Tamandua tetradactyla: one gene and its partner. The protein of the gene in region 1 purifies or fractionates together with the protein of each later gene. This does not show direct contact. Links are inferred from orthologs where the notes say so. Each region holds a gene or a part of one and is shown in the gene's direction. Other genes may lie near its edges.

The links.
Region 2: the proteins of TMUB1 (region 1) and ERLIN1 purify together in Homo sapiens (affinity purification with mass spectrometry; 3 studies listed by BioGRID and IntAct, with this or other methods). This does not show direct contact. The link is inferred for Tamandua tetradactyla from reciprocal best matches to the Homo sapiens genes TMUB1 and ERLIN1.

The regions. Positions count from the first base shown.
Region 1 is NC_135327.1:195,009,866-195,019,367, reverse strand, and holds TMUB1 (transmembrane and ubiquitin-like domain-containing protein 1), read left to right. Parts: upstream 1-5,441; 5' UTR 5,442-5,462; coding exon 5,463-5,576; intron 5,577-6,444; coding exon 6,445-6,863; intron 6,864-7,171; coding exon 7,172-7,523; 3' UTR 7,524-7,991; downstream 7,992-9,502. Other genes in the region: AGAP3 (arf-GAP with GTPase, ANK repeat and PH domain-containing protein 3), read right to left, coding at 2,224-2,554; FASTK (fas-activated serine/threonine kinase), read left to right, coding at 8,585-8,684, 9,269-9,502. UniProt on the Homo sapiens protein: Involved in sterol-regulated ubiquitination and degradation of HMG-CoA reductase HMGCR. Involved in positive regulation of AMPA-selective glutamate receptor GRIA2 recycling to the cell surface.
Region 2 is NC_135339.1:61,666,069-61,675,225, reverse strand, and holds the start of ERLIN1 (erlin-1), read left to right. Parts: upstream 1-5,299; 5' UTR 5,300-5,402; intron 5,403-5,744; 5' UTR 5,745-5,755; coding exon 5,756-5,868; intron 5,869-7,605; coding exon 7,606-7,687; intron 7,688-9,157. Other genes in the region: CHUK (inhibitor of nuclear factor kappa-B kinase subunit alpha), read left to right, coding at 177-276, 1,062-1,091. UniProt on the Homo sapiens protein: Component of the ERLIN1/ERLIN2 complex which mediates the endoplasmic reticulum-associated degradation (ERAD) of inositol 1,4,5-trisphosphate receptors (IP3Rs).

The DNA.
Region 1 (9,502 bases):
GCAGGAAGGATATAGGGCAGAAATTGGAGGAGTTTTTTTTTAAGGCCTGCCTACAGCAGAAGAGCTGGGGAGACAGAAGTGGGAAAGCAGGGGTGAGATGGGTAATAAAGATGGGTTCCAGGAGAGCGCCTAGGGAAAAAAAAAAAAAAATAGATGGGGAGAAGGAGGAGAGGTTGGGAGACCTTGCCAAGAAAGAGCAGGAAACCAGGGATCATGAAGGGGAAATGGCAAGAGAGCTGAGAAAGGATGTGTGAGCAGCAGCTGGGTCTGGTGACAATGAGACATTGGGTCCCAGGATTTTGTGATGGTGATACCAAGCTTCCAAGCTAAGCAGATGGAATCACGGGGTATTTCCAAACCGCAATGGGGAAATTGGCCAGGGGGAAGGCTCTGAGAGGGGAAATTCTGCCTGTTACATTGAATTTAAGATAGCAGTGAAAAACCCAAGTGCATCCTTGGAACCATGACTCTCACTTCACAGCAGAAGATGCCCTCTGAACCAGAGACCCCCTAAACTGGGGCTGGGCCACTGTTAAAGGGAGCTGGAGTTAGATCCAAAACTGGGCTGATTTCCTGCCTGCCTGTATTCCTCGGAAGGGCTCTTAACTTCTTCTGTGGCTGTCCCACTAACCATGTCTTCACAATGCAAAAGGTACTGGGAGGGGATATCTTGGATTTGATCTGGAACTTCTCTTACTTCCTCAGAGGGTATAAAGCTTCAAGGGAAAAGCATCTCTCCCCACCCCCACTCCCTTTCAATCTAGAAAGAAAAATTGGTCCTCTCCTCCTCTTTGTGGCCCCAGCTCACACAAATGCCATCTCCAGGTCCCCAGCCACAACCATGATTCAGGCCATTGACTCAGATCCATGCTAATGAGTTTTTTCTGTCACCTAATTAGTTCACGGTGAACTCAGCCTTAAGAGGAAAAAGACAAGAGGGTTGGGAAAAGGACAGAAGGAAGTCAGACTGGAACCTTTACAACAAAAGGACAGTATCCCAGCTTTAAATGCGGTTTTCTATTCCAAAAGACCAAATGCACCTTCCTCAGATACGGGGGCCCCTGAATGCAGAAAGGTGGCATTCAAGTGGACTGTCCAGAGCCTCACATAGCTAGGAGAGGACAGGAGTGCAGTACTGACTGAAAGGCCCAAGTACTGGACAGGGCCCTGCCCACAACTCCACGTTATGAGCAAAAGACCTTGCACTATCCCTGGCATTTCCACTCAGGCGAAACCCACCACCTGCTGGTGGGCGTCCCCATTCAAATAGGGGCGGGAAGAGTAAGCAGATGGCGCAGGGCGAGGCCCATCTGCCTGCCTCGGCTCGAAGGTCATCATGCCACAGGGGATGCCTGCGGGAGCGGCCAGCCCCCCACCACACCCGGGGTCCTGGGGCATCTGTCAGCAGCTCGCACCCGCTTCATCTGTCCACAGCTTGTGGGCAGCCACAAGCCCAGGGTACGAGAATCCAGAGAAGGCGGGCTGGGCAGTGTAGTGACCTGAGAGTTCGGGTCCCGGAAACCAGGTGCAGCGTCCCAAAAGATCAGTCAGCGCCCAGCAGCCTCCCACCCCGAGAGCAGCGGTGGGTGCCAGAGGCCGGTTGCAGAAGGGCTGAGGCGCCCACAGATCCGCCGACGCCGCCCACGCGGCCGCGGCGCCAAAGCCACTAGCCAGGCCAGGCCCGCAGTCTGCTCCACCGCGGCGGCGTGGGGGGGTGTGAGCCCAAGAGGGAGAGACTCAGCGAGCGCCACCCTCCGGGGCCCACAGGAACTGAGCCCGGGAAAGCTGCCATCCACTAACGGGAGACTCTAGTTCCCCGCCGGCCGCGGGGCAAGGACCGAGTAACTGCTAGGATGCCTCTACCGCGGCGGACCCACCTCCTGGCCTACCAAGGCCCCTTCGCCGCGCCGACCCTCCCCGACCATGCCTGACCACATCTGGCCCCAGCCCGGTCACCGAGGCGACGCCACGCTCGCGCCCGATAGCACCATGAACTGAAAACATGGGACGGGCCTTCAGCCCCAGAGTGTGCCTGGATGAGATATAGGGAAGCCCTGACGCCGGCTCTGCAGCGCCACAGATCAGCGAACCGCGTGGCCCGAAACTCAGGCGCGCAAGGACACTAGACCCGGGTCGGCATGGCCAGACCGGCCCCGCAGTGTCCCCGGCCAGCGCCGAAAGGGCCAACGTGCCCGGGCTCCCGCAGCCCCCGGCTCCGCTCACCCTCGATGGAGATGACGTGCTCCCGTATCTGGTTTTGCAGCGCCAAGTCCTCGATGCGCTCGATCAGGTCGTAGATGGCGTAGATATTGGGATGCACGGACTCGAAGCGCTGGATCTCCGCCCGGATGGCCGCCGAGTTGGAGAGCGCGAACTGCTGGGGGGGCCCGCCAGCCAGCTGCTGCGAGGGGCCGCCGCCGCCCCCGGCCCCGGGCCCGGCGCCGCCGAACTGCCCGCCGCCCCCCGCGCCGCTGCCGCCGCCGCCGCCGCCCCCCGGAGCCGCCAGGCTCTGCTGCTGCTGCGGGCTCTGCCCCCCGCCCGCCTGGAAGTTCATGGCTCCGGAGCCGCGGAGCCCGAGTCGGGCCCGGCTGGGGCCCGGGGCGGAGCTGCGGCGGCGGGCACGCGGGACTGGCGGGGCCGGGACTGTGGAGCCGGCGGCGCGGGGCTAGCGCATGGGGCTGGGGGCCGGGGGCCGGGGGCCGGGCCGAGGCCGAGGCCAGGAGCCGCCGCCGCTCACGCTGTGGCCGCTGCTGCCGGGCACTACCCGGCGCCGCGATCCCGCAGCCTCCAACCAGCCTCCAGCGGCAACAACAACGGGACCGGGAGCGCGCGGCCCGGGCCCTCCCCCCGCGTCATGCGCACGCACCGCCGCCCCCGCCGGCTCCTGCACACGCAGCCCAAGCCCCCTCCCCACCGCCCCCGCCCCTCCTGCACGCACGACCCCAGCACCCCCGCCCCTCGCTCAGCTCTCAGCCGCCTCCACTCCGGAGCTGAGCGTTCCAGCCTCAGCGTCCCCGGCCCCTCCCACCCCAGCCTCGGCCCTTCCGCCTCTACACCAGCCCCCACCCACACCCGCCTCAAGGGCCACCCGTTCTGAGGGGACAGCTGCTCTGGGCTCCACCCAGGCCTGGGCTGTCGCTTTCGCCTCCCTGGGCTGGTCCGGGCGGGGTGTCAGATCTCTGGGCAGTGCCTGAACAGTCCCTGCGCCGGAGGGTGCTGATTCACGCGACTGATTGGCCCCGCTGTTTCTCACATCTTCCTGGCTCCTGTAGGGCCGAGGATCCGCTGTCCCTGGGCCAAGAGGTTAGTCCTAAAGACCACCCTGCTCCCGGGCTTCTCCCCCTGGCTCTATGCCCCGTGTCTCCACTGTCCGCTGCAGTACAGAGGCTACGAATCTGGATTCCCAACTTCTATGTCGAGTTCTCCCTGAGAGCTTCATCCGCGGGGTCCTTGAAATGACACTTTGAGCAACAATGCCCCCACTCTTGTCTCCTTATGACCCTCCTCTCCTGAAAGAACCCCATCCTTCCCGGATTGGGGAGGGAGCACAAAATGCAGCAGGACTCCATTAGTAATTAGAGGAAGAAGAGGGAGGAATCAATATTGTGCCTTCTTCCCCCACCCACCCCATTCAGAGTCTCATCACAAGCCATACATGGCTTTCTTCACTCCGGTCCTCACTCAAGTCCTGGTGCACCATCCTTCCTGGGGGCCGCTCTTTCTGGGGCCCTTCACTTTTCCCAGTTTCTTTCCATCCCCACTGCCACAGCTATTGCAGTTCTGCCAGTCACCTCTCCGCATAACCTTTCCTAAATCCACAAGAGGTAGCAGGTGGAAGGTAGTTGCCCCAACCAATAGCCCCGCCAAGAATATATCCAGGTGTCCTCCAGCACAATTGATACATGCCATCCGTTTTCCACACACTTTTATATTTCAGGACCAACTTTCCTCAGCATTCAGTTGTCCACCATTCAGCTACTCACACAACTCTGCCCCAGGACAAACCCAGTCACCACTCTAAAGTTTCTGGTAACTTCCAAAGAATCAAGTGCAAGCTCATCAACACTTGAGGGCTCCCTGGCAACTGGGAGATGTGGGGTTTCTATTTACGTGTGTGACCTAAAGGATGTCCTGTACCTTCTGGCCCTCAATTGTGAAACATAGTGGAAGACGTAACACATAGCTCTGATATTCTATCATTCTAAAAACAACATCTAACATCTCTTTTAGATGTTTAAAAAGGATTAATAATAAGAATTTGCACTAGGGACCTCCTAAGAGAATTCTGAGGATAAGTAAAGAGCTCCTCAAATGTGCTGTCCCAGCAAGTGGCACACACCTGTGTTAGTACTGGTAGGCTGTTTACATGTCTGTCTCTATATTAGAGGGCAAGGAAAGGGTCTAGTTGAACATTGTATTCCCAGCATCCTGCACAGCTCCTGGCATATAGTATGTAGTTAATAAATGTTGGTAGAATAAATGAACAAATGGGAAGGAAGGAACTAGAGATAAGTTAGTTCTGTAAATTATAAATCTAACCTGACATTCCCAAAGCAATACCTGGAGTCCTGTTCTCTCAAGTTGCTCTGCTATTGGAACATTAGGGTGGATTACTTTTAATCAAGGCTGGAATGTCAGTCAGGTCCATAGTATGAGACCTCTGTGCGAGAAGAGGCCAGAGGAAGGAAGATAAATCCACAAGATGAGTTGGCCCAGGCCAGGCTAGGGCTCAATATTCTCTCCACAGTAAAACCCTGTGTACCCAATTTCCCAGCCCAAGCCTGGCTGAAGGAGTGTATTGATACCAAGTGATACTACTGTGTGTCAGACGCCTTACATAGTTCTCACACTATTTTATTTAAAAAAAACAAAAAAACTAATTTCTTCCTTAGAACAAACAGCCTTATGAGGTATGTTTCAGGAAGGAAAAAACTTAGGGACAAAAAGATTAAATAACCACCACAAGGTCCTTGATAAGCACAGGATAAGGGATTTGTTTTTCCTCTCTGGTTCCAAAATCCATTCTTCTTTCACGGTCCTAAGGTGGAGGAGGAAACCCAGGGAGAGGTAGGTCAGCCCATGGATACTGAACTCTGGGCTGGAGACATAGTTTGGGCCCCAAAGTGTCTTCTGGCGTCCACCCTGTCATAGGAGTAGGCCGGGGCTAGGGCCACCTGAACTCTAGACTCCAACTTCACCATAGCCTTCACTGCATATCAAACAAGGGCACTCCAACATGCTCCAGCTGACACTGGTGTCTTAAGTGTTCTAGAGTGACAGATGCCCTGGCAGCCATCAGGAAAGAGGGTCTGTCCGGCTCCCGCACAAACTCTGGTGTTAGGGCAACCCCAGAATCCACCCCCGCGGACGCCTGAGACCTGGAACAGCCAGCCGAACCCGCACGTGGATCCGCAGGGCGGAGGGCGGGGACTGCGCACGACCGCCAGACTACAATTCCCACAATGCTTTGGGCCACGGCGGCGAGGAAGGAGAGGGAGCCTTCAGGTAACTGCGACCTCGGCGCCTCCCGCCCGGAAGTGTCCGAGGGTCCGATATGGAGCTGGCGGAGCGGGGCGGTGAGTACCCGCGCCTTGACCGCGCCCACCCCAACGCCCTGGGTCTTAGCTTGTCCCGGCTCCGCCCCGGAATCGCCCGTGTCTTCCCGTGGCTCGGGGTGGGGGGCGGGGAGGCGGGAAAATGGAAGGGGTAATGGAGGAGTTGGGGGTAGGGAGGGTAGAGTATCCGATTCCTGGGGCAGGATCTGGGGTCTGGCAGCCGGGTGGGTTAGGAAAGGCGCTGCAGAGTCGGGCCGCGGTGGAGTGGGTTTTGAGTGGACTAGGAGGGGGCTAAATTGGATGGGGTGGGCAACTCACGGAGGCTCCAGATTGCCGAGGGACGGAGTTTGACATTTGGTGTGGGTGAAGCCTTAGGAAGCATCTTGTGCTGGGCGGGGGGGTTTGTGCAACGGGGAGGTGGAGAGGGGAAAACGTAGGCGCCTTTTTTTTTTTGTTTCCCTTCTTGAAGAAACTTTAGCGACCAAGTAGTAGATAGGCTTTGCGGGAGTGGTGGTGGGTGTGAGATAGATGAAGGAGTAAATACACTTTGAGATGAAAAGTAGAGGAGTAGATAAGTTTTGGGGTGAAGTTTGGTGGGTTTGAATTTAGGGAAGAGTTTGCTTAGAATGTCAAAGGATAAGGAGTGTATGAATTAGGGAACTGGTTAACGACCTAGAATTCAGGTTGCCCATCACCAAATCCCCTAGGATTGGGGATTTGGTGATGAGAATACATGGAGATAAATTTGGGAGGCCTGAGAGTCAGAGCAGTCTGTGCCCTGGAGGAATGAGGGCTGAAGGAGAGTTGCGGTGGGGTGGGGTGGAGGCTGTTGCTTTCAGAGCATTTGGTCAGAGAGATAGCCCCTCATGGATTGTTTGTGCCCCTTCAGCTCGGTAGCGCAGCGAGCAAGTCAGGTGCCATGGCCCTGATTGAAGGGGTGGGTGATGAGGTAACCATCCTTTTTGCGGTGCTTGCCTGCCTTCTGGTGCTGGCCCTCGCTTGGGTCTCAACACACACCACGGAGGGGCCTGACCCACTGCCCCAGTCACCAGGGACCCCGACTCCAGCACAGCACAGCGAAACCATGGCAGTCATCAACAACATCAGAGGCGAGGCCCCAGGAGCCGAGGTCCCCAGCCTGAGACACAGAGGTCAGGCTGCCCAGCCAGAGCCTGGCCCTGGGCTTCCAGCAACACCACTACCACCAGACTCATCACAGGAGCCCCTAGTGCTCCGGCTGAAATTCCTCAACGATTCAGAGCAGGTGGCCAGGGCCTGGCCCCACGACACCATTGGCTCCTTGAAAAGGTAAGCTGTGCTGAAGGGGGCTGTAGACTGGAATGAAATGCTAAAGAATGGGGTGGGAGCCATTACAGACCTGGAAGGGCCATCAGAGACTGAGATTCCCCCTTCATTTTATAGATGAGAACAGTGAAGTCTCCAAATCACACACGGATCTAGTACTTGTTCCACTATGGCAGACTGCATCCCCTGAGACCAAGCCCTGGGTGGTGGGATGGAGGGCAAAGGTGAGGGGTGAGTGGGAGTGCTGTTCTGGGGCAAGGGACTAGGATTGCCTGAGGCCTGCTCTCTTACCCAGGTCCCTCTCTCCTCAGGACCCAGTTTCCCGGCCGGGAGCAGCAGGTGCGACTCATCTACCAAGGGCAACTTCTAGGAGACGATACCCAGACCCTGGGCAGCCTTCATCTCCCTCCCAACTGCGTTCTCCACTGCCACGTGTCCACACGGGTCGGTCCCCCACACCCCCCCTGCCCTCCGGGGTCAGAGCCAGGCCCCTCCGGGCTGGAAATCGGCAGCCTGCTGCTGCCCCTGCTGCTTCTGATGCTGCTGCTGCTCTGGTACTGCCAGATCCAGTACCGGCCCTTCTTTCCCCTGACGGCCACTCTGGGCCTGGCCGGCTTCACCCTGCTCCTCAGTCTCCTCGCCTTTGCCATGTACCACCCGTAGTGCCTCCACGAGCTCTTGGCAGTGTTGCTGGCCCATTCGGACCGTGTTCCCCACGACACAGTGGGAGCTGCTGTCTGCCCAGGCCTGCTTCTCCGGCTTGTGTGTTCCCTCTGCCTTGGAGCCCAGCCCTGCGCCGCCGAGGACTCCAGGGGTCCGCGGATGCCTCTCCCTGTGACCTCCATGGCTCTGGGCCACCTCCGGAGGCTGCTGGCCCTCAACTCCCACTGACAGTTGGTTCCTCAGGGTCAGGCAGCTGCTGTCACTGCCTTGGCCCTGGGCAGAGCCAGGCAACCCCCCTGGGCCGGTCTTAGTGTTCAGGCTGAGAGCCCAGCCACCTTTAGTCCCCAGTAACTCTTTGGACTAATTTGGGGACCCAAGGACTAAGTGGGAGGCTATGGAAGGGTAGCTGGGAGGGACAGGGGGGGTTGACTGGAACATGTGCAGATTAAAATAACTGTGAAGTTTTCACCCTTGGCTTGTGTCTGAATGTGTAGGGTCTATGGGGTTGGGGACTAGGGACAGGGAGCCCTTGCACATTGAGAGAAAAAGGAGTCAAGAGCACTGATTGGGCCTTTGGCTCCTGTTCAACTCTCCCAGGCTGACAGCTGACGCCTTATCCTCCCCTTCGCCCCTCAGCTTCAGCGCTTTGCTTTTAGGGCCCTGCCCCTTCTGCTCTGGCTCTGCCCACGTCTTCCTTTTCCTCCGCCCCCGGCGGCGCGCGCGCAGCTTCCGGGAAGCGGGAGGCGGGGCTCGTGGCGCCCCGAGCTCGCAGGGCCTGACGGGAGCCACGTCTTTGCTGGCTGAAGACTTAGCTGGGATTGGCGTTCGGGCGGCAATCCGGGGGTTGCTGGGAAGATGGCGGACTCGGTGGCCCGCCGATGAGGAGGCCGCGGGGGGATCCCGACTCCCGGCCCCCGAGGCCGACTGAGGCAGCGACCTGCGCGGGGCCTGGGGAGCCATGTAGGGGTGGCGCCTGCCGGGGTGGGCCTCGGGAGGTCGGGGCGGGAATTTGTGTTTGGGACTGTGACTACGGTCTCTTGGTGTCCTAGGCCTGGGTGGGTATGGGAGCCCCTTACATCACTGGCCCCGCGCCATTGCAAAGCTGCGCACTCGGGCTCCACAGGCGCCCGGCGAGATGGGCGCTGCTTTCTCATTTCATAGGTGAGGAGACTTAGGCAGAGAGTCGAAACTACTTGTCCAAGGTCACACCGCTGGTAAGTGGGAGCGTCTAGCATGGAACCCAGGACCATTCAGCTTCAAAGCCCGCGTTCCACCCTCTACCGCCGCCGCCTCCTGCGGGAGGGAGACCCCGGTGGTCGGGAGGGCGTAATCGACAGGGTGACCTGGGCTCCACGCTAGCGCTACCACCAACCCCAATAATGACCTCGGGCTTAACTTTGCCTCTCTGCGCCTTGGTTTCTTCATCTGTGAAATCGAGGTGGTAATGGCAGCCCTGCCCACCTCATAGGCTTGCAAGGAGGACCAGAGGAGATAATGCATGTGAAATTGCTTTGTAAATAGCACTGTACTGAGTACACTAAAGGATTATGATTGTTGTCTCAAAGAAGTAGGATGAGGAAGGGAGAGGTGGGGAAGAAGACTAGCAACAATCACCAAAAAAGAGTGAGCAGGGAGTCTGGACCTGACTCCATGCTCCTCTGGATGGGGAGTGAGGTAAGGAGTAGATAGCAGGTCTTTCTCCCCTTTGGGGGAAACCTCACCCCCTTTTTTGGGCTGCCCCTTAGGGTCTCCATCACCCAACTCCATGCTTCGAGTCCTGCTTTCTGCCCACGCCTCCTCTGCTCGGCTGTCTGGCCTCCTGGTGCTCCCGCCAGTACAGCCCTGCTCTTTGGGGCCCAGCAAATGGGGGGATCGGCCCTCAGGAGGAGGCCCCCATGCAGGCCCTGTGCAGGGGCTGCAGCGGCTTCTGGAACAGGCGAGGAGCCCTGGGGAACTGCTGCGCTGGCTGGGCCAGAACC
Region 2 (9,157 bases), on another chromosome or scaffold:
GAGGAACCAGCAGGACTCTCCCTCTGGGTGAGAGGGATGAGGAACCTTAAGATTGCGGGAGTCAGTTGCATTGGGATCCTGGACTGAAAGGACAGTGATCATCCTGACCTAGGAGACCCGAAATAGAGGAAATTCATATGCCCCTTTGCTGAACTCCTTGCCCTTTCATCCTACAGAGAGACTTTAGCACAAGTGATAGAAGAAAATTTGAACTGTCTTGGCCATTTAAGCACTATTATTCGTGAAGCAAATGAGGAACATGGCAGTAGTATGATGGTAAGTTTTGTGTACATATGGGTGTTTGTTTTTTGTTTGCATGCTAGGTACAAAGGGTGTAGCTGTCCATACTAGCCTTATCTTGACATTTGGGATGCATAGGGCAAATAGAGGAAATCGGAAGAATATCCTAGATCTCAAATTTACATCTTCTGCTACTCAGGCATTGTATTAGGATTATGTCATCAATAATCTTCAACAGTAGCATTTTTTGTCACATTAAAAGAAGGGTGAGCTTTCTTTAATATGTGAATACTGAAATTGAGTGGTTTATACCATTTTGCTTTAGCAATCAGTTTTCTCCAACAAGATGGGTGAGGCTTGTACTGTAATTCAAATATGGTGGCTGCTGTATAAATGAATATATGTTACATTATAGCTAATTTTATGTAGGTATATAGTTGTATAGTATAGTTAATTTTGTAAGGAATAATCTGTAACTGAGAAGATTTGCTTACATTGGGAATATTGATTTATAAGAACTTGGAGAAGCTACAATAAAATGCTTATTGAATTAATTTTTACTTCATTTAGTCATAATGTCAACTCTTTATATCTCCTCTTTCATTTAGAATAATTATTTGCTTTAAATATTTTTGAAACGAAGTTTTTTTAGTTTAACAGAAAATAAGGTGAACTAAATTCTCTAGTTGTAACTTTTGTATTTTTATTTTTCAACTTTTATTATAAAATGATCAAACATACAGAATACTTGCAAAAATAAACACCAATATAGCTATTACTTGTACAACATCTAATTGTAGCTTTTTCATGCCTGATTTTAGAATCTTGATTGGAGTTGGTTAACAGAGTGATCTGCTACTTGTTCACTGTCACCAAATTTATGGAAGTTGTTTGAGCACGTGTTGGAAATTTGTTTTTCTCCCATGAAACTATTCTGCAGAACCAGCCAGTGGAAGAAATGGTTATTATCAGAAGTCACTCATGATTTTACCTGCACAATGTTTTGAGTTTGATTACTTTTAACCTCCTTAAAGATAGGATTTTATAAAAAGTCAATGGACTTGTTCAAATACTACAGCTACTTAAGAGCATCTTTGTGACCCACTTGTCTCCAAATTTGGTATAAACATTACTTATTTAACTGATTAAAAATGCCTCTTAAAGTTTTGTCTTTTGGGCATAAGGCTGAAAATGTATATAGGAAGAACACCTCAACTAACATACATGTTAAATGTTGTCTGCCTGTGTTTCTGTTGGGACTGCTGCAAATAAAATTGAACTTGAAGAATAACCTGATCTCCTTGTGTTGCACTTAACAAGTGCTCTTCCTGGCATCATAAGGAGTTGGTTTAATCCCATTTTCAGTTTTAGGGCACATCTGACAGGATTGTGCCTCTGTATTTAATAACAGTCGACTCTCATAAATCTTGTTAAATGTGCTATGTGTACTGATAAGATGTATATTATTTAAGATGTACATTTAATAATATCAAAAGGAATTCACCCACGTTAATTTATAATGTATTTGTAAGCTTATCTGTTTTTCCTCTTGTAAAAATGGGTCATTTGTTGAAAGGATTTTTCATGTCTTGTCATATAAATTTATAAAGGTCTGCACTCCCTTTCTGTAATTCCAAAACCCCAAAAGCTCTGAAAATGAAATGTTTTTCATAAGCTTGGTGACAAAATTCATTTGCTTACAAATCTAATCTGAACTGATACTGAATCTACTTATCCCATTTAGTGTGAATATTCATTTTATTTGTTGTTGGAGAAATAGTGATGTGTTTGATTATGGGGTGCTGCCACAGACCCTGCTGGGGGGTTATGTAGTATATAGTGTATGCACTGAAGTATCTTTCTAAAATCTGAAAATTTCAGAATTCTGAAACATCTGGCCCCAAGAGTTTCAGATAAAGGATTGTGGATCTCTGTCATCTGTTAAGTAATTTAGAAGGTATTACTTGTTTTTTTAAAAATGTGAAATGCTTTTGTATTCAAAACAGTTTTTCACTTATTGTATTAAATGATTTTTAAATTACTTATTGAATCTATTCATTAAATCAAGCTGTAATAGAAGAGTTTAATATGGTTTAGAAATGTGAAGTTTCATAGAATTGGAACACAATAACATATAGGTTCTCATGGTTCTTGCTTTAGGAATTAAACAGGTTTTATGGTAAAGGCAGTGTTGGGAACCTTCTAATGTAGTCTTGTCCTCTCACTACTGTCCACATTTAAAAACCATGCTCATAACTTGCCCTATAAACTGATGTCATCTTCTCACCATCCTCATTTCTGCCATGTCATTTTCCCAGTCATCCAAGTTAGAAACCTTGAAATTGTCTTCTCATATCTTTTTAGTCATCTGGTATCACTGTTTCTAAAGATTTAAATTTTGTGCCTGTCAACTGCTATAATAGGCAGTCTTTTTCTTCTCTAGTTTTAGCAGATTTTAATCAATAAAATCTTTTATTGGACACCTGTTGCTTGGATGTTACTGAGCTAGATGGCAAAGTGAGACACAACACAGTAGAAGAATGCTTATCTGGGAATCAACACTGCAAGCCATCTCAGTATTGGAATTATGATTAAGGGATTTTTTTCATGACCATGCATTTTCTAAATAATAACTGATAAAAGATTTGTTTAGATGGGGCCATTTTGATGGTGTGCAGCTGGGTGATGTCAGAACTGCTTGAACCACATGACACAGGCAGATGGTATGAGTCACAACAGACTATGGCAGTGACATCAACCCAGATTTGCTTTTTTTTAGAAAGTAAGTGCTCCTTTACTGTAATCACCCCTTTAATAGATTTTAGATAATTGACAAGGACTTGGTGTAAGCTTCTGTTTAATTAGTTACAGTTCATTTCCAAGGTCTTGAGGAAAATGTATCAAGTAACAGCTGACTGGGAGATCATAATATGTGTGTGTGTGTATATATATATATGTATATATATGATCTACATTGGTGTGTGTTTGTGTAAATAAATATATATAAATATATTGAGAAAAAGTGAGTGTTACTAGCCAGATGTGACAAAGATCAAAGTAGTCTTTCTCATGCAGTTTCTATATCCAGTTATAACATCATCCTCATCTTCAAAGAGGACAGAGTCTTTGTAAAGCCCTGTCTTCTCTTTGCTGTTGTACCATATTCACTCAGTGAATATGATCACAGAGTGATCATTTCACTGGCATTCCGGGGCACATACTTAATGCACATCTTGGTCTTCGTGCCTATATCCCTACCCTCAAGGAGCACTCAATCTCAAGGGAGAAGCAGACAAAGTGGGCAGATAATTACAAGGCAGTGTGAAAAGGGACAGGCAAGGAGGGGTATGTAATTCATATTGCTTGAGCACTTTCTTCCCGGGCAATGACTTTGCTAGGTATTTTACAACTGTTACTTAGTTTAATGATGGTTACAGTTTTGGATAGTGGATACTATTATTTCTACAAAGACTCTGAGAATTTATGTGCATGCCAGTGGACTCCACAGGGAGAGAACCAGGGATATACATTGCCTGCTGTCAGGCTCCTCCTTGCCTCCATCTCCTGATGATGTCCTCCATTGGATGAAGCCAATTTGATACTAGAGGGCAAAAGATTCTGTATTACAAGTCCTCCCAGGACGGAGAATGGGAAGGCGTGGGTCTACTTGGAGACAGGCTGCTGGTGATCCTGGACTCCTGTCCCATGTCAAGGTACATGGTGGTATCTGCTGGTCTCCCCTTTGTCTTCCAGGTTCCATTGCTTCCAGCTTCTTGCTTCCATGGCTTTCTCCCCAGATTTGCTTCTGATGCATGGATTGACACCATTGTTTGTTTTTTGTTGGTTAACAGCTTTTCAGAGTTGAATGGCAACTGTGAATTTTATATATTCCATTTTCTAATCCAAGCTTGCTTTGCTTTAATGAAGACTTGAATTGATTCTGTTTACCCCCTCCTATCTTCTCTTCTTCTGTATCCTTAGATGTTTACTGCAGTTTCCTAATCACTTGGCTTCTCTACCTCCAGGCGTCCCTCTGGGCCATCTTGCTTAGCACTGGCAGTTCCACTGGCCTAAAGCACTACTTTCCCATAGTTCCCTGCTCAAGAGGTTACAGGTTTTCCAACCCTAGTCTACCTCATCCAGCTCAGGCTCCACTGTTAGCTTTTCAGTGCTTGCGCCATTACTGCCCAATTTTCTGTACTAATCTGTGCTTATTTCCCCATTTCCTTTGTCCTTTTTATTTTATTGAGCAGGTAATATATGTACATGACAGAGTTTTTTCGAAAAACTATGCAGTGATCCTCCCAGCAGAAAAAGGGCACATGAGCCTTTAAAAATCTGATCCTAGCCTACCATACCACTCCTTTCCATCACATAAGATTTTAAAGAAATTCAAGGGTTCACTGTTCATTTTAGTCCCCACAGACCTCCACCCCCATCTCCATCCCCCCACCCCCACATCCTTATATGCCTTAGTTCATTCTATTCCCATTGTGTGCATGCCACTCATAAAGTCCTCCCTGAATCAGCATAGGGTCTGGAATATAGAAGGTGCTCAGAAAATACCTGATAGTGTATATATGTATTAGCCACAATTAAAAAATTTTGAAGCTCGATGGGGGAGAAAAACCGACAAGTGAACGAGGCAGGTGGATCGAGTCTCTTGCTCTTCTGAATCCTTAGCACTTTATTTGCAACAAATCTCGGGAGCTCCTGAAGTTCATGACCCGTGCCTGAAGCTCCTACTTGTCACAAACAGCAGGACTCGGTATAAACCAGAAAAGGATTACAGCTACTAATGTACTAAGCAGGGGAATGGGTTCTCTATACAAGAACAAGCTGACCAGTTCCCTCTCCGAGAGACCCTTTCCTTTCCTCTACATCCCTACTTACACCAGACTACCAATTTCCCTTCTCTTTAGTAGAAGTTAGCCAGGGGTGTACAGAGAACCGACATTGTTGCGGAAGATTGCGAACCGGGCGGCTAAGAGAATTTTGTCCCGTCTGCTCCCCGTCTCTCTAGTCCCGGGCTAGCGGTAGCGTCTGTGTGCGTCCCCGCGCAGCCGCAGTTCTGGGAAGTGGGCGGGGCCGGCTTTTGGCGGCGTTAGGCGCAGCCTGGGAGGCGGCTGCACGTGCGGGCGGGGGCGATGCGTCACTGATCGGTGAGGCGCTGCCGGGTGTAGGGGATGGGGGTGGGAGTAGGGGTAGATCGGCCTCCTTCCGGAGCTTGCAGCTGGGCCCCTTCTCAGTTAGTGTGCCGGGCAGGGGAACCACCGTTGGGAGAGCGTGTGTCACGACGTTCACCAAGCAGGAGGCGGCCCATGGGCCGCCTCCGACAGTGGGGTTGGCAAAGGGGAAGCGAGGAGGGAAGAATGAAAGGAAAGGGGCTCAGGACTTCCTGGCTCGGTCTGCGGGAGGGCGCTGGGACTCCGGAGGGAGAGGGAGGAAATTGAAACGTGTGTCTGTCACTCACGGCACTGGGGGTCCTTTCCTGCCTCATCCAGGAGGAGCAAGAATGAATATGACTCAAGCCCGAGTGCTGGTGGCTGCAGTTGTGGGGCTGGTGGTTGTCCTCCTCTACGCCTCCATCCACAAGATTGAGGAAGGACACCTGGCTGTGTATTACAGGTGAGCTGCACGTGCAGTCAGTTCAGGTTCTAGAGCTGATTGAAAGTGGACTCCGCTAGAGTGGAGTCTAGGAAGTTGTGCCCTCAGCAGCGTCCTGGAGAAATCCTCTCCAGTCCTAGGAAGTGATTTACGTTCCAGCACTAGGAAGAGTACGGGAGCCGAAGCTGGCTTTTGCGGCGCACCCTCCCGGTGTTTAGCACGTTTTGTGCTCTGTAAGTTTTGCTGCAGAGGTTAAGACCTCTGACAGTTATTCTTAGTACACAGCATGCGCTTAATTATTTGTAGAATGAAGAAAGGAAGGCAGTAGTCACTCCGCCTGTAATTGGAGAGACGGATAAATTATTATATTCTCTACAACTATACAGGTTTTTAATTTGCAGCTATAGTGCTATTTAGAAAATCTGGTTCTGTTTATGGTTGTTCCTTAGCTTTTTCCTTTTAAAGTCTCAGTGTGTCTGGTTATGACTTATAAGGCCATGATGACCATAATAATTGTTAAATTCCAGAAGGGATATAAACATAGCATTGATGAGGCACCTTACGTTTTCTTTTCAAGTTGAGGAGAGGAATTTATGGGATATGTTACTGTCTAGTTAAGCTTGCATAGTTATCAATAGTTCTGTGTTGATATAGACTAGTAAGTGATGAGAGGACAATTTGTGGAGAAATTAGAATAATAGAATATATGAAAAGAGCTTCAACTTTTCTGTCATCCGTCCAAACCTGATATATCTGCTCTTAGATCCATCCTGGGTTTTAGAGACAGTCTTCAGTGTGAGGAACTTCTTATAAGTGCATTTTTAAGTGATATGTTTTAGCAGATGGAAATCTAGTATAACAGTTGGTAGATTAATCCAGATTTCCATCTAGTTCAGTGTTTTCTTTATAACAGTAAAACAAAGGAAAGAACATTTGAAGGTATGGCTCTCAAAGAATTAGAGGTGAATTTCAGATACTTCATCTTTCCTTAGTTATTTGTTATAGAATCTTTGCAAACCTATTTATAGTCTCAGGATAGGATAGTTCTATGAATTATGCGAAGTAGGACTTCTTTTTTATATTTGTTCCCAAAGTTCCTCCGTTTTTTACAGTTTTCAAGGTGGGCTTTCATAGTTTTCACATTCCAGAATTTGATGAACAAATCCAGGCTCATATTTTATGTCTAATCTTGCCCCTCACCCTTCATCTTTCCGTTCCAGTTATTTTCTTTTCTGTTTTCATATGGAGACTTTATGCCTTCAGTATTTTAGTTGCCATGCAGATAGATTAAAAGACTCTTGAGCCTCAGAAATTTTCTCTTCCTTAAGAGTTTGTGTTGCCTTCTTTTTTTCAACTTGGCAAGTAAATGTATTATGCTTGTATTATGCTTGATCTGGTTCTTGTTGTGTACAATTAAAATACAGAAACTGCAGGCGATTAGAATTTTTGTAAAAGCATTTCTCAGAAAGTTGAAGACACTCTTAGGCAATCCTTTGAACCTAAGAGTGGTGGTGGAGACCCAGAGGTGTGGTTGGCTAGGCTTATGAAACAAGGTGTAACATCCAGCAGTTTAATTTGATCTTTTTATCTGTTTTAAGTGTGGCAGGTATTTTAGGGAGTAGCAGTTCTTAGCTAGGAATAATTCGTGTTAGTGAGTCTTTAGTAGATCAGAGAGTGAATCTTTATTGTAGCATTTTAGATTTGGAAAGAGAAAGGTCTCTCTTTATAATCTTGTGAAATTGAAACATCTTTTTGCAGGGGAGGAGCTTTACTAACGAGCCCCAGTGGACCAGGCTATCATATCATGTTGCCTTTCATTACTACATTCAGATCTGTGCAGGTGAGTGATTTCTAGGGAAGCTGCCACACTGGATAGACAGGTGTGGCAGGGCCAGTTATCATACTCTTGGGTGGAGATGGATTTCCTATTGCTTAAAGACATAGTAGTATTTACTTACACTCAGGAGTTAAAGTTCAGAGTATAATTGTTATAGCACAAATTAATGATCCTCAGCTACCTCATTCTCTGGTAGTGTGTTATAAGTATGAGCTAAGCAGTTCGGAATGATTACTTTTCCCATCTATATAATGACAGGCAGCAGGTTTTCTGTAAGTATTTGTTGTTACTCTCAAAGTAAAAGCAAAAATTGCAACACACCTAGAAATACAAACCAGTGGTTATTTGATTTAGAACAGTGTTTGGTTTCCATTTAGGCAGTCTCCTGGGCTCCTGTTATGATCAAAGATTTAAACTTTTGTACACAGCTTTTCTGCCTCAAATTTTTACCTGATCCATTAAACACAATATTATGTGGAACCTTAGTGAATGCTTTATCTTGACAGTATCCCAGAATATTCTAAATGAGCATCTAGTTATCAAGAAGAGTATCTTGGCCATGGGAGACATTTAATGTTTTAATATAACAAAATGCAAAACAGGATTAGGTTTACTACTTTAGCAAGCTCAGTATCATCATAAATCTTTGGCTTCTGAAGAAATTTGTCTGCTGTTTACTGTCTATGTTGTTGAGTCTTAGCCTTATAATTTAAGTCTAGGTTTCCTCCTAAGAGTGTCTATATGAATACTTAATCTCCTATATTTCCTTCCTCTTTTAGGTGGCTTAGGTCAAGAATTGTGTTTATTGAAGTGTAATGTGTTCTTCCCTTAGATTGATTTTCATATTGTTTGCCCATATATATTTTTTTTACCCTTCTGCTGTCACCTCTTCTCTCACCATCCCTCCCTCCATTTATTCTCCCCTTTCCCAACTAAATCTTTCCAGCCTTTTTAAGGGTTACCTCAAATCCTTCTTGGTTGCTTTTTTTTTTTTTTTTTTTTACATGGGCAGGCATCGGGAATCGAACCCGAGTCCTCGGGCATGGCAGGCAAGCACTCTTACCTGCTGAGCCACTGTGGCCTGCCCTCAAATCCTTCTTATCTGTAGTTCTTAAAGCCTCTATTGTAAACTTTCACCCTCATTCTTATTTCCGTTAATAGTGTTTCTTGTATTTTTTCTAAGTTTTTGAATTTTCTTTTCAGAAAGTCTCAACGTTCTTGAGAGCAGGGATTGTGTCACGTTTATGTTACTGCCCTTTCCATTTATGGTGGAAGGTGTTAAATTGAGCTAATTTCTCAAAAAGTATTGTGTTTCAGTGAACAGGGGCTAGAAATCTGGAGACTTAAGTTCTAGTCCTGGTTCTGCCCCAGTTGATTGTGTGACTTTAGGCAAATCACCTAACTGTTGTAGATTTCAGTTATTCCTCTCTGAAAGAAGAGGTTTCAATTATATAACCTCACCTTTCCAACAGC